Notamacropus eugenii: one gene and its partners. The protein of the gene in region 1 interacts with the protein of each later gene in a pairwise test. Links are inferred from orthologs where the notes say so. Each region holds a gene or a part of one and is shown in the gene's direction. Other genes may lie near its edges.

Region 1 (7,292 bases):
ATCTCCAATTCTAAAAGAGGGTCCTTGGACAGTCCTGGGAGGCTCACACTTTTTCTAGAGCTTCTCTGGAACCCTGAAGGGGGGGAGGGCACCATAGGAGAGTAGAGTGATTTAATAGCAGTGTTGAGAACATACTTCTATTTCTAAACATCTGTTAGATGTTTAGATGTTCTAAACATCTATTTCTAAACATCTGGCCCATTGCTGGCCATGATCTTCCCTCACTCGATCCCCATTACCTATTGGATATTTCAGACTGGATGTCCCAGGGACATCTCTAATTCAACATGTCTAAAACTGAACTGGTCTTTCCTCAGAAACTTTTATCTCTACCCAATTTCCCAGTTTCTGTGGAAGGTACCTTCTTCTAGTCCCCGGGGCATGCATCATCCTTGACTCCTCATTCAGTTCACATATTCAATCATTTCTAGCCTATGGCATGTCTCCCATCCAAACCCTTCTCTCTACTTATACCCCCACCCTGGTTCTCTCCTTCCTCACCTCACTAGTCTCTCTGCCTCCAGTCATCCTCCAAGCTGCAGCTAGAGTAACTGCCCTTAGATCTGACCCTATGACACTCCAGATGATGGGATGCCTTTACCTTTCCTGGAACAAAGCAAATTCACCAGGCTTTCAAGTTAGAAGGCATCTTGAAGATCATGAAATTGACCCTGCATTTGACAGAAAGAAGGAAAACTAAGGCCCAGATGGGTAGAGAATAGCTCAGGGCCACATTCCAGAGGAAAATAAAGAGTGGGGAAAGTTCCAGAGCTGAAAGTGACTGCAGCCCCCTAGTCAGACCCCCTCATTTTCCAGGGGAAGCTGCTTAGGATTGCAGAAAGTCAAAAGGGGCTACTTCCAAAGAAGAAACTGAGGCTTGAAGTGGAGCAATGCCAATGGGGCCCAGGGACTTTGTGTGGATGTATTTCTATGCCCAGTACACATTTCTGTGAAAGGAGGTCCTATTTGTACAAAGCACTGAGCAGTGCTTCAGCCATAGTAGGCCTATACAAACACTTTTTCCACTTCCCTTCTCCTGATATATAGTGTGTGTGTGTGGGGGATGTTGATTAAATGACATTGGAGAGAGAGGAGACCAAAAAAAGGAAAGAGAGGAGTAGAGAGACCCATACCCAGCCACCTACAGGAACACAGAGACATACACATAAAATAGACCCAGGCTTGGGGGGGAGAGGGAGAAGGAAAGAGTATCAGAGGCAGACACAAAAATGGACAGAAAGGTACACTGAGGTGAACAGAGGGAAGGAGGGACAGATTAGGATACACACAGGCCAGAGACAAGAGAGAGAGAGACAAACAGGTTGAGACAGACAGACATGGAGTGTGAGAGGGAAAAAAAACTGAGAGACAGACAAATTCCCAGATAGGGTTGGACCAGGACTGCTGCACGATACAAGAGAGAGTCTCTCAGTGAGGCCAAATAAATAGAAGAATCCATCAAGGTCTCCTGTCCATTTTGGATGCAAACAATTCTCCACATGAGTGATTTGAGAGTAAATCTGTGGTCATCTCAGAGAGACAAAAAGATCAGGAGCCCAGAAACAATACATGTTATTCAAATGAGATAATAAATCTTGGGGAATTCTTTGAGGGCATCTAAAACCACCTGAGATTTGAGCAATGCCTAAATCTATTTCTAGTGGGAGAGTGGTGTGCTCCCTACATGGTCCCTCATTGTGCCCACCCTCTCTGCCAGGTGGGACTGGTCAGTTTTGGCTCACATCTCAGGGGTAGGGACTCCAAGGCAGGGATTAGTAGCCAAGGTAGGCATTACCATTGTCTCCCCGCCTGAGCTTTGGGATTTGACATCCTTGTTTTGGAGATGGGGGTGGGCTTGTCAGCTAGCTGTGGAATGTAAGATCAAACAATTCCCAGGAAGCCATTACACCTGACTACGATGTAGACTCAGTTTGGTGTGGGTGCAGGTGTCCAAGGGGTGCTCTCATCTCAAGACAGCTCGACCATCAGTTCATTTGAGCCAGGCCTCATGGCAAAACAAAGGCCAAAAGTGCCAGACTTAGTTGTTGTTGTGCCTAAATTGCCAAGTTAGCTGTTTGAATTTCCCGGAGTCAGTCTCTAGACTGTAAAGCATGGAGAAGATGCAATGGTCAGGTTGACCTTCCGGGCTTTCTGTTAAGTACTTTTTATTGGGGGGAGTCTGCCATCGAGATAGGCCAGAAAGCAATTACTGGGGTGGGGTGGGGTGGTGGTGGTTAGAACAGGTCCTAATTTAAAAGAACAGACAGAAACACAACTTGAGGGAATGATGGAAAGGGACAAATACAAAGACCATGCTAGGGATGGAAAGAGAAATGAGCTGGGGACGGTGGCACAGAAAGACAAAATCAGTCCGTTGGTCAGTGAATATTTATGAAGCACCTACTATTGGCCAGGCACTGTGCTAGCACTGGGGATACCCAAAGAGGCAAAACCTGGACTCTGGGGGAGACCACAAGCAAACAAACACACACAAACAAGCTGCACGATGAATTGAAAATGATTGAGACAGACAAGACCCTCGAATTTGAAGGGGGTAGGAGAGGCTTCCAGAAGAAAATGAGATTTAGCTGGGATTCCAGGAGACCAGGGAAGACAGACAAGGAGCAAGAGTATTTGAGGCATGGGGACAACTAGAGAAACTGTCCAGAGCTGAAAGATGGAAGGTGGACTTTGAGGAACAGTCAGGCCAATAACACTGAATGGAAGACAGTCTGTCAGGGAGCTGAGTGAAAAAAGGGGAGGAGGGGGCAGGGCATGAAAGGCTGGAAAACCAAACAGAGCATTTTGTATTTGATCCCAGAGGCTCTAGGGAGTCACTGAAGTTTACTATGTGGGGAAAGGGGACCTTACTTTAGGAAAGACCTGAGGCAGGCAGACTCTATCAGCTATTACAATAGTTCAAGGTGTGAGGTGATGCTGGGCAAGACCAACGTGGGGGCAGGGTCAGACTGAGAAGGGGGGCAGATATCAGACATCAAAGGTAAAACTGACAGGCCTTGGTAACAGCTTGGATAGGTGAGGGAGAATGGAGTTCAGGATGAGACCTGGGTTGTCAGCCCAGAAGACTGAGGGGATGGCATTACCCTCCACAGTAATAAAGAAGGTGGGATGGGCAGATTAGGGAAAAGAAAAAGAGTTCCATTTTGCATGTGTTCAAGGTGCCCACTGGACATCCAGTTCAAGATGTCTGAAAGGCAGCTGGAGATAGGAGTTTGGAGGTCAGCAGAGAGGGTGGGGCAGAATTGACCATCAGCATAGAGATGTAGGATGGAAGGGGAAGTGAAGGGGGCCCAGGACAGAGCCTGTGGTTAGAGGGTGTGATCTAGAGGAGGAGGAGGAGGATCCAGCAAAGGAGACAGAGAAGGGGCGGTCAGAGAGGGAGGAGGAGAATGGAGACAGAGAGGGGAGTTCCATAAACCTAGAAAGGATCAAGGAGGAGAGTGCCCAATAACAGTGGCCAGGGCTGCTGAGAATTGAGAAAATGCCACTGGACTTGGCAACTGAGAGATCCCTCCTAACTCTGGAGAGAATGATAAGGTTGGAAGCCAGATGGTAAGGAGTAAATTAGAGATAACACAGAGCCATCTATTGTAGGCGGCCATAAAGGGCAGAAGGACAATCGTTAGACCGGGAAAAGAAGAGACGGCCATAGAGATTCAAGAGCCGGAAAATGAAAAGCAGAGACGCATGGGGACAGAGAGACAAAGAAAGAGAGAGAGATCCACAGAGAAAGGGCCCCGGAGGGAAAAAGGCAGATGAAGGGGCAGGTGGGGGATGAGCCGCCGCCAGGAAAGCCCGAAGCAGAGCAACCAGAGCAGCTTCACACTCTTTGGCCTGTTCCCAGAACGCTTTGCGGGGAGCCCTTCCTGACTCCTCACCCCTGCTCATTTGCTCCCCTTTCTCCCACCTAGAGATTCTCGGGCCGACACTCTAGGACCGTTCTCCCTCGTTAGACTGGGAACTCCTTGAGGGCAGGGGCTAGCTTTGGCCCCCTCCTTCTATCCCCAGAGTTTACCCCGGCACGCAGTAGGCGCTTAATCAATGCTTTTACTGACTCACTGACCGCATGCAAGCGAGAGAACGCGAGAAAGACGCTCAGAAAAATGGACTGGGAGGCTGGGACCGGGCCTCATCAGTTCGGCCCAGCTCCGCCCGGCTCAGCTCGGCTCAGCGCAGGTGGAGTGGGGGCGGAGCCGCAGCCCTAAATCTCAGAGAAGACTGGCGGCGAAGGACCCATTCCGCATGCGCACGCAGGCGCAGGAGGGCGGAGGATACGCCGGGGCGCGAAGGCGGGACGGGATTGGCCGTCCGCCATCGACCCGCCCTGCGTGCTGTGCCGAGCGGCCAATCTCTTGGGACTGGCGGCGGTGGGGTCGGACATGGCGGCGTCTGCGGACCAGGCGTGGGCCTTGTTTGGCGCCGGTGTTCAGGCAGTGCTGGAGGCCTGGCCGGCGCTGCAGGTAAGGGTGCCGGACAGGGGAGGGAGCTTCGAGCATGCTCCTTCCCCGTACCAAGAAACTGAGGCGGCTCCGAGGCGGGAGGAAGGAGGGAGCGAGCGGACCCCGGAAGTGAGGGGAGGGGAGGAAGGGAGCGCCTGGAGGAAGGGGGAAGAGAGGCCCCCCCCCCCCCCCCGCGTCGTTCCCCGCAGGGCGCTGCCAGTATGTCTCCTGTCCCAGATCGCCGTGGAAAACAGCTTCGGGGGAGCCCACAGCCGTGAGAAGGCCCTGTGGCTCGGGGGAGCCGTCCGGGACTATTTCTTCCAGAACGGTGAGTGGAGTACCGGGAGGGGGGACCAGCGGGACAAGGACGGGATCCCAGAGCGTCTGGGCAGGCTCTAATTAGTGCTCTTGGCTGGGATCGCTCCCTTCCCAGCTGATTTAGAGCGGGATGAGGTGGAGGACTTCCTGGCTGACATCATGAGCACCGAATTTGATACTCTGGTAGAAGATGGAAGCCTGCCCCAGGTCAGCCCCCCGTGCCCCAAGGCACCAGATTCTAGATCTGCCCTCCCCAGCCCTCGCCTCTCCATTCCCAAGGCCCCACTCTAGACCCTCATCCAGTTCTGTTGGAACAGCATCCTACCTCCAGGGTGTCCCCATGTTTCCATCCTTAACAAGGCTTCCCAAGTAAAATTCTCTCCCTTCAACCTTTGAGGCTTCTCTGCCTTCAAGCTGAGACCACCCCTTCCAGCATATCCCCCCTCCCCCCCATTTGGAACTAACAGGATTTGGAGCTGGAGTTCAAAGCCAGCTACCCTCCTGTTGGCCAGCCTCCTTGTTACTTTGCAGGCTGATTAGGAGTGTCATATTTTCTTCCTTTCATCTCTCCCCTGGCCCATGACCATAAATTCAAACTCATAAGTATACCTGTGGTGGGGGTGTCTACCAGGTAAGCCAGCAGCTCCAGACAATGTTCAGATACTGCCAGAGTGGTGAAGAACCCTTGCTGAGAGAGTTCATCACTCAGATGAGCCAGAAGCAGAAGGATGTCAAAGCTGTGGAGGCCCAGACAGTCAACCAGACCAATGATGACTCAGACCAGGAGGAAGAAATAGATGGGGGAGATGAGGAAATGGAGGTGAGGAAGAGGGGACTGCCTAGGCCAGAAGCAGGAGGAGACCTCTCCTCAACCTGATCATAAAATTCATAATATTTCTTACTGACTTGGGCCGATCATTCTAGTCTAACCCTAACCCTAAATCTTTTTGATCCTGACTCCCTCCCAAACTGGTCATTTGCAGTTTGGGTAAGTATACATTTCTGTGGTTTTCTTTTCTGTAAAATAAATGATTAGACTAGATGACTTCTAAAGTTCATTCCAGTTCATAGACCAGTTCAAGGTTTCCCTGCCACAAGTTGAGGAAACTACAAATTAACATTAGCAGTGTTGCATTGTGTTTTTTACTTGTTAAACGTTTTCTTAATCACTTTTTAATCTGTTTCTGGGTGAGCCGGATGCCTCTGATGTAGACAAATTGTGGAGAAACACATTAAGCCACCATCAGGGCAAGGGCAAATTCCCAGAATATCCTTAAGAATCTCCTCCCACCAAATTGACTGCAACTAACAACAGCCTCCATTTATATAATGGTTTAACTTGTGCCATGCAACCAAACAGTGAGGCAGGTGCTATTACTGTCCCAGTTTTACATGTAAGGAAACTGAGGTGGAGAGGCTGTGACTTGCCCAGGGTCGCTCACATAGGTGGCAATTTCTAAATTCACCTAGCTGTTCTTTTATCCAGTGAGCATTTCTCCATCTCTTCTGCAAGAATAGTACTTGGTCAAATGCCTTCAGAAAATCTCAGGAAACTCAATCTGCAGGATTCCTGCGATCTACCAATTTCACAATTTTGGCACAAAAGCAGTAAGGGTAGCTAGTCATAACTTGTTCTTTATGTTAAGGTAGGACTCTGCAAACATCTGGAGGAAACCCTGAACTGATCTTAGTGTGCTCTAAGTTCCCACTACTGTTTTCTTGACATACTGAACATCCTGCTATTCCAGGCCCTCAGCGTCTACAGACATTCTGTGTCCATAAGCCGATCTGGACTGGAAAAATGACTTGCTGAGATTTGGCTTTTTTGTTGGTTTGCCCACTCTAGACTCATTGGGGCATTTTCTAGATCTTTGAAGAAGCATTGGAGGGGTAGAGCTCTGCCACTGAGGCTCCACCTCCATAACTTGTCCCTTTCTGATCAGCACTTCCTGCTCTAGATTGTCAGTAATCCTAATAAGCCTTTGAAGACATTCTACAATTTTGCCAGGAGTTCAGCTCAAACTTGTTGATTTGTTTTTTAGCCTCTTTTGAAAGGTGGGCCTTTCAGTGGTCTCCTGGTGCTTCAGCCATTGCTCCGGATCTGCTTGCAGGCACCAGTTCATGGCCCTTCTTCATGGCTCAGCTATGTAGAGAAGCCCAGTTAGCATGAGCTCTGTTTGTCTTGGGTGCCCACTCCCTGGTAGCCATTTTAGTTTCTGGCCCAAATGGCATTTTACTTAGCTAAAGACACCAACCAAATCTAAGTTGGGTTAAGTCCTGCCTTGTTGCCATCATTTGTTATTAGACAGCTCTGATCAGAGAGAGCCAATCCGGCCTTAGACGCCAGCTGGCCAAGTCACTGTTAGCCGCTGAATGCACTTGGCTCCCGAGTCCTCAGATGTAAAAAAGAGCAGCTACCTCACTGGGTTGTTGTGAGAATCAAACAAGGTGTTTGTAAACATTGCTTAGCACAGCGCTCCAAGCACAATGGGCCTTTCATAAAGGCTTCTTTCC
Region 2 (7,466 bases), on another chromosome or scaffold:
TTTTCTCCTTCCCTGCAGGTGAGAAGCAGATGCGCTTTAGCCTCTCCGATCTCCCCTTTGACATGAATTCAGGTGGTTATGAGAAGGATGTGGAGCTGGTTGCACACCACGGTTTGGAGCCTGGATTTGGCTCACTAGCCTTTGTGGGCGCAGAGCATCTGCGGCCACTTCGCCTTCCACCTGCCAATTGCATCTCAGAGCTCACACCTGTCATAAGTTCCGTCTACACCCAGATGCAGCCACTCCCGGGCCGACTGGAGCTATCTGGAACTCGGGAAGCCAGCGAGGGGCATGAGGACCTGGCTGATGGGGGTCCTCTCCTCTATCGGGCTCGGGGTCCCCTGGCTGACCCTGGGGTCTCCCCCAGCAATGGCTGCCAGGACTCCACAGACACAGAGAGCAATCATGAGGAGCGGGGTGGGGGGGTTGTAACCACCCCTCAGTGTTCCTCAAATCAGTCAGCCCCTGCTCTGGTTGTGGGGAGCCGGCCCAGCCCTGCCTACGCCAAAGAGGACCCCAAGATGCAGGAAGGGCTTCCCCGGAGTGCTCCTGGCCCTGCCAAGGAAGTGCTGCGGGTGGTAGGTGAGGACGGAGAGCCAGTGAAGGCCTTCAAATGTGAGCACTGCCGCATCCTTTTCCTGGACCACGTCATGTTCACCATCCACATGGGCTGCCACGGCTTCAGGGACCCTTTCGAGTGCAACATTTGTGGCTACCACAGCCAGGACCGGTACGAGTTCTCCTCCCACATTGTCCGAGGGGAACACAAAGTAGGCTAGTGATCTCTGGCCTCCCCTCCAACCCAGCCCTTCCGAGGTGTCCAGCCCTCCCAGCTCACCCCTGCCTCCCACTGTCCACTTTTCTACCTGACTAAGTTTTGCTTTTGTAGCCTGTCACACAGACATAATCCCTGGCTGCCTGATTTCACACTTGCCTCCTCGCCATTTCTGCCCTCTCCTTTCTGCAAGTTGCCAAGCTGATTTATTTAAGCGTTGTGATGAAACAGGTCTTTTGTTTTGATTCTTCCTTTTTTTTCAACCCCTATGCCTCCCCAAATGCACACTAAGTTATTTAGTAAGATTATTAGATGGAGGGTTTTTGCTCTCTAAGGAAAAGTCTGTCAGATAGCTGCCATTCTGCACTCCCATTCTCTTCTCTTGTCCAAACCTAATTTCCTGCTTCCTCCACATCCCTAGGACAGTGGGGTAGAAAGCTCTCTAGAGTTTGGAGGGGCATTGGCCTACTGCTGTCCCTGATCCTCACCCCTCACTTACACTGCCAGACTCCTCAGTTCCGGTGCCGGTGCCTCCTGGCCCCACCATTGCTCTGTGGCATTATATCTCCTCTCTGGGACACCCCTCCCCTGGCACTCCATACCTCTCTGCCCTCTCACCTTGGGCAGCTTGCACTGTTCTTGAATGAATGAATGAATGAAGGATATCCCCCATTTAGGGGGAGGAGAGGGTTGAAAAAGTTCACTCCAGGGCACTGTGAGGCTCAGAATCCTCTCACTCGTTCCCCTAATAATATGAATACTCTGAAGCCTGCATTTGCACTCTGGGTCTCCCACTAGGATGTGATATCCTCTCCCTTCAACCTCACAGGGGCTGTTCTGGTCCTCCAACCAGTCTGTGTGCTCAGTGGTGACTTCCCTCCACTTGGGGCACCCCAATTTGATATCCTCAGGGGTGAAAGCTGGGTCTGCACCTTTTTCTGTCTCTGAAGCATTGGGAGTAAAAGATCCTCACCAAATTGGAAATAGAGGACAGGGAGAAGACAAGATTCTTCTCTTCTCAATGCTTCTTCAATTGACTCCCTCACCCCAGAAACCTCTCTAGGCACTCAGGGGCTTTCCCACCTTACGAAAAACCAATTAAGTCTATTGCTGCCTGAAGACAAGGAGGAGACCCAGCCCTTCAGTCTTACTGCCTTCACCCTCCCCAGCAGGGATTACCATCCCATTCTTGAGCTCTGAGGCTCCATCCTCAGGGTCAGTGGTCATAAGAAAGGGATGTTTCTTTCCTCCTTTTAATTATTTCAATATAACCAAAAATGATTGCAGGGTGGGCATGTTCCCTTGCCCCTACCCTACCCCTGCCCGAGGGAGAATGGGTCCAGCACATCTGGACTGAGGGCGTCCTTCACTGCCCCCTTCATGCCTGGTGCCAAGGAAGCAGGGAAGGAGGAATTCATTTCCCTCCTGGTTCCTGAAGCATGCTTGGCTGTTCTTGTTGGTCTGGGAGGGAGGCAGAGGCCCCTGGGAAGGGGAAGCATCTCTATACACATGGAGTCCCAGCCCAGGGCCACAGCCACCTGGCTCTCTTGCTTCCTTGAGGTTCAAACCAAAGGCTGTTTTTTTTTCTACGTTAAAAACAAAAAAAAAACAAAAAAACAAAAACACAACCACCTCACAAGTTGCAACACTTGGTCCTTCTCTCTTTCCTCTCACTTTTCTCCTCCAATTCCTACCCTCCTTTTCTTCCTACGACTCCTTTCCTCATTGCCTCTTCTGCCTCTTCTCCCTTTTCTCCCTCCTCAGGGATCTCTTAGGGGTCCCCAGGGAAGGACGCTGCAGGGTTGACTGGGGGACAGAACCCAGGATTGTGGTACTTGGGCCTCTGAGAGGAGTCTCTCTCACCCCCTTGTGGGGAGGACATCCTAAAACAGTTTTCTCCTCTTCCTCCACTACCCTGAGGTTTCCTTGATGAGACCCAGATAGGTGTAGAGTGGAGCATCATTGTGATGAACCCGTCTGTTCCTCCTGGACAATGTAGCAATAAACAGATGCTGCCAGGGTCAGGGAGGTGAGGGGTAGGGGAACAAAGACAGAAGTAGAGGGGAAGGATAGAAGGGTCTCTAAAGGAAGGTTCTTTCCAGCAAGATGCTGTTCTCCTACCTCCCTACTCCACTTTTGCAGAGTAGATCTGGACATTGAGCCCCTTCCTACTCCGTCCCTTTCTCAGCTGGGAACTACTACAGTATTCTGTTTGTGATTGTGACTCCCCATAGGGACTATTCCCTCCAGGGAGATCAGAGCCTTAGGGTCCTACCCACATTCTTTCCCCATTCTACTTTGGCAAACCTGTGATAACCCTCACCCCCGAAAATTCAAAACAAAACAAAATCATGTTCTGAGGCTATTGCTATGCCCAGGAGAGCAAAGACTTGGGGGCTGGGAGCAAGATAAGACTCTAGATAGGGGAAGAAGGGGACACCATCACTTTCCAGATCATCACTGCACTTTAACCAGGGTCTTAAGTACAAAGCCCTACTTCCCCAGAGCCCCTTTGGCTCTGGGACCTCAAATGTGCTCACCCCTCCTCCCAGCTCCTTTTGTTAAAAAAAAGAAAAAAAGAAAAAAAAGAAAAGAAGGAGAAAAAAGAAAAAAAAATAAACCCTGAAACCTATGTGGAGGAAAGAGGTGTTTTCCTTTTCTAACAAAATTCAAAAACAACAACAAAACCCTTTCTAAGCAGATACTTTTCCAAACCTTTGGGTTTTTTTTCCATGTCTGTCTCCAGGCTGCGGAGGGATTTTTGTAACACTCCTAGCAGCTTCTTTCCTTGTGTACATATTATATATATATATTTTTAATCAGACATTATGATGAACAAAAAAAAAAGAAAAAAGAAAAAAAGAAAAAAGTGCAATACCACCTCTGTCCTCTTTCTCTTTCCCAGGGTTTTCATTTGTATCCTAGACTTGGTGTCTTTCTTGATCCCTGTCCTCTCTCCTCTTCTGGGTGCCCCCTCTTTTTTTGAGAGTTCTTTCCCTTCTTAAGGGGAGTCAAACTTGCTTTTGAGACTTAACTGCGAAGCGTTTTGTATCTGTAATATATTGTAAGTAAATATTTGTGTAACGAAGAATATACTACTGTAAGTTTTGTACTGTACTGGCTGAAGGTCTGTTATAAATAAACATGAGTAATTTAACACCTCCTGTCTTTGCAAACTTCCCCTACTTTGCTGTTCTGTTGGAAGGACTGAAAACACTTTATCACTATGTTTTTATTCTGATTCACTTTGTCCTTAGTAGTTTGGGCCACGTAAAATTAAGAGTTTCGAGAGAGATTAAGCAAGAAATCCCCAAATGAAACTATTAAAGCAAGAGAGGTTGACTTGAAATATCAGGATGGGCTCTAGGGCACAATCAAGAGTTTGTAAATCCTGGGATAGGAGTTGGAGAGACTCTTCATCCTAGGGCTGCTATCCGAACAGACTTCCAGGCCTTTTTGGCCCCGACTCCTCGAGGGCAGTTACCTCTGGAGGGCATGGGACTTCATTAAACATGTTTACTGAATGCCTACTGAGCACCCAGTAGTATGCCAGCTGCCATCGATCATCACCAGAACCCACAGCCTGAAAGCTGACACTTTGTACAGAACCGAGGGCCCAAAGGAGATGTGAACGGAGGTATCTGGGAGAAAGAGAGGCAGGGGAGAGAGAGGAGGACGAAGGAGAAAACTCGAAAGGGAGAAAAAGGCAGGCTGTGAATGCCTCCCTGGTGGGGAGAGGCGAGGGGGAGCCCCTGAAGTTAATATGGAGTAGGGCAGTCTTTCTTCCCGTGGTGGGAGTGGGATGTGCCAAGAGCTGTTTCGTCTCCTGCCTTTCTGTCCCCATTCTTAAAAGAAAAGGAATCTCGGACCAAGAGGAAGGATTGAGGGACCAAACGCGCGCGACGTGGAACATAAGCTTCCTCTGGGAGTCGGGCCCCGGCTTTGGGTCCCGAGGGCCGCCTCTGAACTACATCCCCATCGCGCACGTAGGCTTATAGGCGCATTCAAACTACAACTCCCAAAAGGCACTCCTTCATGTTGACTTCTACCCGGCGGACTTCAACTCCCGGCGTTCCTTGAGACACTACAGCTAACTGGCTACAACTCCCAGCAATGGCTTCTGGGAAATCGGAGGCTCGCGGGGTATAGTTTGTGAAATTAGTTTTACATGTATTCTTCCACGCCTAAATAAAATAGTCCATAAGGGGCTCTTTCTCCGAGGCCAAAACAACTCCAGAAACCTCTTTTCACGGAGGAAACGGGCTTTTTAAGGAGTAAAGCCTTTTGTTAAGTGAATCCTGGGATTGGTTAGTCTCGGAGGAGAAACTTTGTTTACGCGCATGTGTTGGCGCAAGGATATACAGATATATAAGGCGGACGGCGGAACCACCGGATCCTTTTCCGGTTCTTGGCTTCCAAGATGGTGAGGGAGCGGCGTGCGGTGCGGGGGTCCCTGGCGTTTGGGGAGGCCGGTTCCGAGACCGTTGGAGGCGGGCTGGGGAGATGGGGAGGGCCGCAGGCCCATAAAGAAGGACAGTGGAGACTCGGGTTCAGGCCGGCCACAGGGCAAGCGGGCCAGAGAGAGAGGATGGGGAGGCCGGACACGGGTGGGCCCGGAGCGCGGAGAGACGCTGGGCGCCGGTACTGGAGCGGGGTCGGGTGGTCGGGAGGGGGAGAGGCTGAAGGCCCGGGGAGAGCCCCTGGCGGGCCCGCCTGACTCTGGCCCCCATCGCCTCAGACCAAGAAGAGAAGGAACAACGGACGCGCCAAGAAGGGCCGCGGCCACGTGCAGCCCATCCGCTGCACCAACTGCGCCCGCTGCGTGCCCAAGGACAAGGCCATCAAGAAGTTCGTTATCCGCAACATCGTGGAAGCCGCGGCCGTCAGGGACATCTCCGAGGCCAGCGTCTTCGACTGTAAGTCCTGGCCGGCGAGGCGCCGTTTGGGGGATTAAGCCCCCGACCCTCAGCATCCCAGCGTCCTTAGGGCACGAGCCCCGACCTGGAGAAGGGTCATGCCTAGTCGAGTAACGTGCTTTTGGTTTCCTTAACTGAAAAACAAAGTTTGGGTGTGGGTGGCATCTGTTCTATTCTAAATCTTGTTAGAATCTAATAAGTCTAATCTTATTAAGGGTTCAGACTTTTATTTTCCTTAAGTAAGGTCCATTTTTGTGACATACATTACAGAAGGGTAATCTAAGGAAACGGAGGTAATGATGGAAATGGAGTTTGAGGCTAGAATCCCAAAGGGGGTTCTGTGGGCGTTTTGGAGGGATGGGGAATGACCAGATCTGCTTGATAGCGCCAATTTCTACTTTAAGTCATTTTACAAAATGCAAAAGCTCCCTAAAAACTTGGCGTTCTAAATACGTTTGGTGTATACTTTGGGGTAGGCATGACACCTCAGGGCAGTGCTAATGCTTTTTCCTTCACCAGCCTATGTGTTGCCCAAGCTGTATGTGAAGCTACATTACTGTGTGAGCTGCGCGATCCACAGCAAGGTAGTGAGGAATCGCTCTCGGGAGGCACGAAAGGATCGGACACCCCCACCCCGATTCAGACCCGCGGTAAGTCTCTTAACAGGAGTGAGTACAAAAAGAAGGAAGGGGAGAGGTATTAGAGGCTGCTGGGATTGCTTGGGATTGATGAAAAGTTAATAAGAAAAGGTCCCTGCTCCAGGAGAGATTATTCTAAATAGGGAAATGAAAAAATGAAAATAAACTTTGAGGGATCTTTAAAGATAAAGCGGGTATGGTTGGAACTAGACTGTGTCTCCAGAAAATACTGTAAGTAGTTGGAAAAGAGGCTGGATACTGTTTATTAATTCCAAAGGCGTCCAATATTGTTGGATTTGTAATTCTAATTATAGACATCTCTTCAAAATTTGCTATTTCCTTATATTTTGATAATTATACAAGCAGTACATACCCTAAGTAAATTTTTTTCCTTGTTGATATTTGTGAAAGGATTCTAGATTAAGAAAGAGGTTTGAACTATTTCTGCTTTCCATAGTGGGGAAATGCTTGGAATGATAATGGTCCCATGTTGCTGACAAACTATCTCATTCTTTTACTTTTGCAGGGTGCCGCCCCCAGACCCCCTCCAAAGCCCATGTAAAGAACTATCTGCCCATCAACATTCCTGAACCAGTCAGAGGAAAATAAAATGGTTGGTCTATCTTACATCGTGCCTGGTGTATCTGTGGGTTAGGGGAACTTAAGCCTACCTTTTGACTTTAAAAAGAAACTGGGTTATAAAAATCTGTGTCCTTGGCATAGCCTGCCAATTTTCTAAGAACAGATAATTTTCTAAAGAATGTAGGTAGACACAATAACAGGTGAATGCCAAACTTGAAGAAAAGTTTATGTTGAAAGGCTGGGTTAAGGTTTGTGCTTGTGTCACTAGGGGGATTTAACACTTGTTAAGTACTGACTCTATTTAACCCTGAAGTAATATCTTCACTTGTCTTTCAAACTGAGCTCATTCTTAGTTTTTTTACACGTATCAAATAATAATGATGGTTTTAGTGCTTGAGTTATCTTGGGCTTGTGATTGACCAGAAGCCCTTAGGTGAGCAATTTGACAGTTGGTGAGGAGGTGCTGGAAGGTGGGGTAGGGCTGGTGATTGTGAAGCCAATGATATTGGACACCTTTGAAAATTGATTCCTGGAGGGTCCGGGTAGATTAGATTA
Region 3 (6,874 bases), on another chromosome or scaffold:
TATGTGACCTCTTTATTCCACTGCTCCTAGATAATCCAGTGATGTGTTGTAGTGTCCTCTTTAGTGGTGACTCCATCTTCCTGAGACCTGGGTGGTTGTAATGACTGAAGACACTTTTCACAGATGAGAGTGGGCAATAGCTGTCACCTTCTGCCTCTTTAAATAGCTTTTATGTATCAGGATAATGGCGTTTCTGTAAGTGTTACACTCTTCAGAATGCTAGTATGTCATGCGCTTCTTTGCACTATGGTCCTTAACGTGGGCCTTTGTTGTGGTGGAGCACTGAAGTTACTGCAGTGTACTCTTGGCCCCCCACCTTCCTAAATTCTCCTTTACTTTCTATAATTCCCCTCCCCCCCACCCCTACCTCCCCGTGCTCCCCATCCCAAAATCTGGCTTCTACACTTCTGTTCCTTGGATACTGAGCATTAATGGACAAAAGTCAAATTGAGCTGAATTCACCTACTAGAAATTTAGTTTGTACAAACTAAATCACTACCTGTGATTTACAGACAGCTGGATGTTTGACAGTCTATATCACCATACTTAGATAGTACCTGTTCCTAACTCCATCTTTCTTTTCTTCTCCCCTTCTCCTTCATACCTCAGTGCCACATGGCTTAGCCTCTTACTTCATTAAAACTGAAAGGCATAATGTTTGTTCTTCACTTCTTTTCCATGCCTCAAGAATTTTTAGCATCATTATCCATCCTTCTGTCCTTTCCTCTGGTAACAGAAGGGTCCTACTTAAAACTCCTCCCTCTCACTGTGCCCTTAATCCTGTTCATGCTTCCTTCTTTCACCATCAATCAACTGTTAGATTCAGGACAGGAAAGTACCCTGGCTGAAGCAGCAAGTCACCCAGAGGAGGACATGAGAGGCAGCATGTGGCAAGCAGATCAACAACCCCACCCCCCCAACTTCGTCCACTACTACCCCCCCAGCGTAACCACCATCTCCTCTTAGAGACAGTTGAGGACTCAGAACTCCAGATGGGAGAAATAGTGCTTCCTGCCTAGAACCTTCAGCCATCACCTTAGGAACTCACCTCTGGAGATATGGCCTAGCAACTTCTTCTGCAGCCATAGTAAAGAAGACTGGAAGGGAAAGTTTTTGCCACCAGAGTCCTTGGCTTTTTCAAATAGTTCCAAATCAGAAATTGATACAGTTTTATCAGTGGAATGATTCTGAAGAAGAGATAATTGCCATCTGCTTTGCTACTGCACCCCAAGGACCCTGTTGGTGTTCCATCTCATTTGCTGCAGAAACTTTGTGTATTGTCTCCTTTACAATGTGAGTTCAATCTACGTGAGTTTGCTTTTTTGTTTTTTATTTTAAATTTATTTATTTAACTTTTAACATTCATTTTCACAAAATTGTGGGTTCCAAATTTTCTCCCCATTTGTCCCCTCCCCCACCCCAAAACACTGAGCATTCTAATTGCCCCATCACCAATCTGCCCTCTCTTCTATCATCCCTCCCTTCCCTTGTCCCCATCTTCTCTTTTGTCCTGTAGGGCCAGATAACTTTCTATACCCCATTACCTGTATTTCTTATTTCCTAGTAGCAAGAACAGTACTCAACAGTTGTTCCTAAAACTTTGAGTTCCAACTTCTCTTCATCCCTCCCTCCCCACCCATTCCCTTTGGAAGGCAGGCAATTTGATATAGGCCGTATCTGTGTAGTTTTGCAAATGACTTCCATAATAGTCATGTTGTGTAAGACTATATTTCCCTCCATCCTATCCTGCCCCCCTTTGCTTCTGTTCTTTCTTTTGATCCTGTCCCTCCCCAAGAGTGTTGACCTCAAATTTCTCCCTCCTCCCCATGCTCTCCCTTCCATCATCCCCCCTACCCTGCTTATCCCCTTCTCCCTCACTTTCCTGTATTGTAAGATAGGTTTTCATACCAAAATGAGTGTGCATTTTATGCCTTCCTTTAGTGGAATGTGATGAGAGTAAACTTCATGTTTTTCTTTCACCTCCCCTCTTTTTCCCTCCACTAAAAAGTCTTTTGCTTGCCTCTTTTATGAGAGATAATTTGCCCCATTCCATTTCTCCCTTTGTCCTCCCAATACATTTCTCTCTCACTGCTTAATTTCATTTTTTTAAGATATAATCCCATCCTATTCCATTCACTCTGTGCTCTCTGTCTCTGTGTGTATGTATGTGTATGTAATCCCAGCAACTACCCAGATACTGAAAAGTTTCAAGAGTTACAAATATTGTCTTTCCATGTAGGAGTGTAAACAGTTCAACTTCAGTAAAGTCCCTTATGACTTCTCTTTGCTGTTCACCTTTTCATGCTTCTCTTCATTCTTGTGTTTGAAAGTCAAATTTTCTTTTCAGCTCTGGTCTTTTCATCAAGAATGCTTGAAAGTCTCCAATTTCATTGAAAGACCATTTTTTCCCCTGAAGTATTATACTCACTTTTTCTGGGTAGGTGATTCTTGGTTTTGATCCTAGTTCCTTTGACTTCTGGAATATCCTATTCCATGCCCTTCAATTTCTTCATGTAGAAGCTGCTAGGTCTCGTGTTATCCTGATTGTATTTCCACAATACTTGAATTATTTCTTTCTAGCTGCTTGCAATATTTTCTCCTTGACCAGGGAACTCTGGAATTTGGCCACAATGTTCCTAGGAGTTTCTCTTTTTGGATCTCTTTCAGGAGGTGATTTGGTGGATTCTTTCAATATTTATTTTGCCCCCTGGTTCTAGAATCTCAGGGCAGTTTTCCTTGATAATCTCGTAAAAGATGATGTCTAGGCTCTTTTTTTGATCAAGGCTTTCAAGTAGTCCCATAATTTTTAAATTGTCTCTCCTGGATCTATTTTCCAGGTCAATTGTTTTTCCAATGAGATATTTCACATTATCTTCCATTTTTTCATTCTTTTGGTTTTGTTTTGTGATTTCTTGGTTTCTCATAAAGTCATTAGCCTCCATCTGTTCCATTCTAATTTGGAAAGAACTATTTTCTTCAGTGAGCTTTTGAATCTCCTTTTCCATTTGGCTAATTCTGCTTTTGAAAGCATTCTTCTCCTCATTGGCTTTTTGAACCTCTTTTGCCAATTGAGTCGGCCTATTTTTCAAGGTGTTATTTTCTTCAGCATTTTTTTGGGTCTCCTTTAGCAAGGTGTTGACCTGCTTTTCATACTTTTCTTTCATCTCTCTCATTTCTCTTCCCAGTTTTTCCTCCACCTCTCTAACTTAATTTTCAAAATCCTTTTTGAGCTCTTCCATGGCCTGAGCCCACTGAATATTTATTTTGGATGTTTGGGACACAGAAGCCTTGATTTCTATGTCTTTCCCTGATGGTAAGCATTGTTCTTCCTCATCAGAAGGGAAGGGAGGAAATATCTGTTCACCAAGAAAGTAACCTTCTATAGTCTTATTTTTTTTCCCTTTTCTGGGCATTTTCCCAGCCAGCGACTTGACTTCTGAGTGACCTCTCCACACACACCTTGCCTCATGATCCGCCCAGCCAGTCCTTAGGGGCTGAGATTCAAATGCTGCCTTCCAGCCCCAAGTGTTTTGGCGGAGGCGGGGCTGCTATTCTGTGTGACATTAAGTTCAGGTGCTCTGGTGGGGGCAGGGCTGCCACACGGGGCTCAGTTCCCTCAGGGGGTTTACGGGGAGACCTTCCACAATGGATCCAAGCTCCTGCCTGCTTTGGAAGCCCTGGTCTGCTGCCACCTCTGCTGCTGCCTCCTGAGGGGGCCTGAGTTATGGGGACACCCCACTCCCTATGGGGACCCTCTCACTGACCTTTGGCACCTGTGGGTGGAGGGACCTTCGAGGCTGCTGGAGATTCCGTCCCTGAAGCGTGCTTGGGTCTGCTCTCCTGGTGCTGTGCAGCCAAGGCAGGGCTGGGCTCTGCTCCGGGTCCGGTGTGCGACAGACCTTTGGCGTCAGTTTTTCAGGTCTCTCTGGAACAGAAATCTCCTCCACTCCGTTGTTCTGTGGCTTCTGCTGCTCTCGAATTTGTTGAGAGTTCTTCTTTACAGGTATTTTATGGGCTGTGGGTTCGGAGCTAGCATATGTGTATCTTTCTACTCCACCATCTTGGCTCCTCCCCTTGAGTTTGCTTTTTTGAAAAGTATATCATAGATTCAATATATTTTGAAACTGTCTTGATTATTTGTGTTTCTTGAAGTTCCTTGTGTTTTTTGTACTGTGAAAAAATATTTTAGTGACCCTCTTTTCTTTCTTTTCTATGTGTAGTGTTGCTATAGTTTTTTTCCCCTTTAAGAAGAACAACACAAAATTCTTGAAATAGAAAAGCCTAGCAATGCAAAATAAATCTACAAATTTACCTATGTATGAAAATGTCTCATTCTGCACTAAAAACTCATCATCTCTCCCTCAGAAGGTGAGTAGAGTGTTCATTAATCTGGAAGAGTTGTGGTTGTCCACTGCATTAATAATGATAGCTAATATTTTCTTACTGCTTACTATGTTGCAGACCCTGTGCTAACACACTTTACAATTATTATCTCATTTAATCCTCACTACTACCTTGGGAAATAGTGCTGTTATAATTCTTATTTTCTGGAAGAGAAAACCGAGACAAACAGAAGTTGAGTGACTTGCCCAGGGTCATGCTACTAGAAAATTTGAGGACAGGTTTGAACTTCTGATTCTAGGCCTTGTGCTCTATCCACTGTGCCATCTCGCTGCCTAGGTGACCACCAAGGGATGTAAACTTTCAGTCCTCTGATCCCATACAATAGTTCTTAAGTCTTTTAAAGTTTTTCTTTATTCCTCTGTATCTTTTTTTTTTTTTTATTAATTTTTTTATTTTTTTAATGTTTAACAATCACTGCCATACAATTGCGATTTTATCCCTCCCCACCCACCCCCCACTACCTCCCTCCCTCCCCACGACTGCATACAATTCTGTATAGATTCTACATATACTTTCCTATTGTATTCCTCTGTATCTTATCATTTAGTTTTACATTGTTTTGTATTGGTCCTCCCATTTTTTTTCTGATTCCATGTCTTTTGTTATTGTTTTACATCACAGTAATATTACATTACATTCATATACCACATTTATTCAGCCATTTCTCAATTTATGGACATTCTCTTAGATTAACACATGCTTTTCACTCATTCATTCTGTATTTTGATTGGATCCGTCTACTTCACTTTGCATCATTTACAGTAAATCTTCCCATGCTTCTGTGTATTCTTTATGCTAATTGTTTTCTATAGCTGAGTAATATTTCATTACATTAATCTACCAAAATTTGTATAGCCATTTACCAGTCAATAGGCATATACTTCTTTCCAGTTCTTCGCTTCTACCAAAAGTGCTACTCTAAGTATTTTGGTGCATTTGGAGCCTTTTGGTGGTGTTGATGGTGGGGGGGTTGGAAGAGGATCATTGACCTTTTTGGATTGTATGTGTGGGAGTGGTACTCTATTATGAGCATTTTAGTTACTTAGCATAATTTCAAATTACTTTCTAGAATGGTTAAGTCACTTCATTGCTCTACCAGACATTGAGAAGTATTTGAATAATACGCTATTCAGATCTAGTCAGGTTAACAGTAGTACACAGAATCACGGGTTGAAATAGTCAAGTTAAGGATTTATTTTCTTTCCAACAATCACAATTTCAATTGATTTTTCTTGAGATTTGGAAAAATATATAAATTATCTGCGAAGTACTGAGAGGAAATTTCTCCATGGAAATACTAATTGAAATTACCAGAGATCTCAGGAAGAAGAAAATTCAGTAAAAATCTTGAACATAAGCAGAAAACCTAGGAGGGAAGACATGAACAGAGATGAATATGGTCCTCAGATCAGGTAAAAGAGTTCAGATAACTGTAAATAATATTGTAAGAGGAAAATGAATCACTTCCTAAGGAGGCAGAGGACTATGTGAATTCCTAAGAGAGAATGAAACTGCAGTAGAATGTTCCTGAACAATTTAAAAGAGAAAAAAGAAATGTAAAAGCAGAATTTGGCATATAACGCAGAAGTATTTGGTAGAGTAGAAAATCTCGAGCCCAGGATGGGAAACCTAACCAAAGAAAGGAGAGAGAACAACTGATTGGAAATGCAAATGCACAGAAGAAAGGACACTCTAGAAGAAAAGTAAAAAACAACAACCCATGATCTCCAAAGAAGCAAACAATGCTTTCAAAGATAAAATGCCTGTACTTTTTAAAGATTATGGGTCTCCCAGAAGAATGACAAGTAGAAAAATCTGAACACTGGTAGTAAGAAATACTACCAAAAAACTACCCAGAAAGACAAATGTTAATGGAAAGAATCCTCCTCCCTTCATCCACACATCACCTCCAGGGAAAAAAAATTGTAAATTAAGACACATAATGGATAAATTTTAACAATTCCAGTGATAAGAAATGCTACATGGTTCCAGGAGAAAGACTTACAATATAAAGGAAAGGAAATTCAAATAGCATTCTACTATTCTTTATCTAATAGTGATTTTTTTCCTTTGATTTTTTCTTTAAGCTCTGGATTTTGGGTATAATGCTCCTGGGATTTATTATTTTGTTCTTTCAGTAGGATGGATGGATTTTTTTTTCCATTTTTACTTTGTCAGTGAGATGTGGGTAGTTTTCTTAAAATTTGATATCTAAACTTTTCTTAGAGCTAATTACATAGTCCAGTGGTTCTTAAGTTTTTTTCTCAATTTGTTTTCTAGTTTAATTGGTTTTGACAGTTCCATGCTTTAAATTTTTTCTACATTTTCAATTTTTGACATCGTTTTAATGTTTCTTGTTTCATGAAGTCATTATCTTCTGTTTGATTCATTCTGCTTTTCAGGATTTTGTGGCTTAGGCAAGTTTTTTGTACATCTTGTGCAAAGCTGTTAATTCTCTTTCCAGGACTTT

What was found.
Region 2: the proteins of TSR2 (region 1) and RPS26 interact in binary tests that used the Homo sapiens proteins (3 or more experiments, as listed by UniProt). The two-hybrid records come from large-scale screens. The link is inferred for Notamacropus eugenii from reciprocal best matches to the Homo sapiens genes TSR2 and RPS26.
Region 3: the proteins of TSR2 (region 1) and PIAS2 interact in binary tests that used the Homo sapiens proteins (3 or more experiments, as listed by UniProt). The two-hybrid records come from large-scale screens. The link is inferred for Notamacropus eugenii from reciprocal best matches to the Homo sapiens genes TSR2 and PIAS2.

Annotation. Positions count from the first base shown.
Region 1 is NC_092879.1:102,611,600-102,618,891, forward strand, and holds the start of TSR2 (pre-rRNA-processing protein TSR2 homolog), read left to right. Parts: upstream 1-4,288; 5' UTR 4,289-4,400; coding exon 4,401-4,481; intron 4,482-4,697; coding exon 4,698-4,788; intron 4,789-4,893; coding exon 4,894-4,985; intron 4,986-5,409; coding exon 5,410-5,598; intron 5,599-7,292. UniProt on the Homo sapiens protein: May be involved in 20S pre-rRNA processing.
Region 2 is NC_092874.1:231,230,889-231,238,354, forward strand, and holds RPS26 (small ribosomal subunit protein eS26), read left to right. Parts: upstream 1-4,895; 5' UTR 4,896-5,195; coding exon 5,196-5,198; intron 5,199-5,513; coding exon 5,514-5,691; intron 5,692-6,210; coding exon 6,211-6,341; intron 6,342-6,855; coding exon 6,856-6,891; 3' UTR 6,892-6,956; downstream 6,957-7,466. Other genes in the region: IKZF4 (zinc finger protein Eos), read left to right, coding at 19-779.
Region 3 is NC_092875.1:326,636,541-326,643,414, forward strand, and holds the start of PIAS2 (E3 SUMO-protein ligase PIAS2), read left to right. Parts: upstream 1-3,864; 5' UTR 3,865-4,003; exon of another isoform or gene 4,004-4,220; 5' UTR 4,221-4,287; coding exon 4,288-4,368; intron 4,369-6,874. UniProt on the Homo sapiens protein: Functions as an E3-type small ubiquitin-like modifier (SUMO) ligase, stabilizing the interaction between UBE2I and the substrate, and as a SUMO-tethering factor.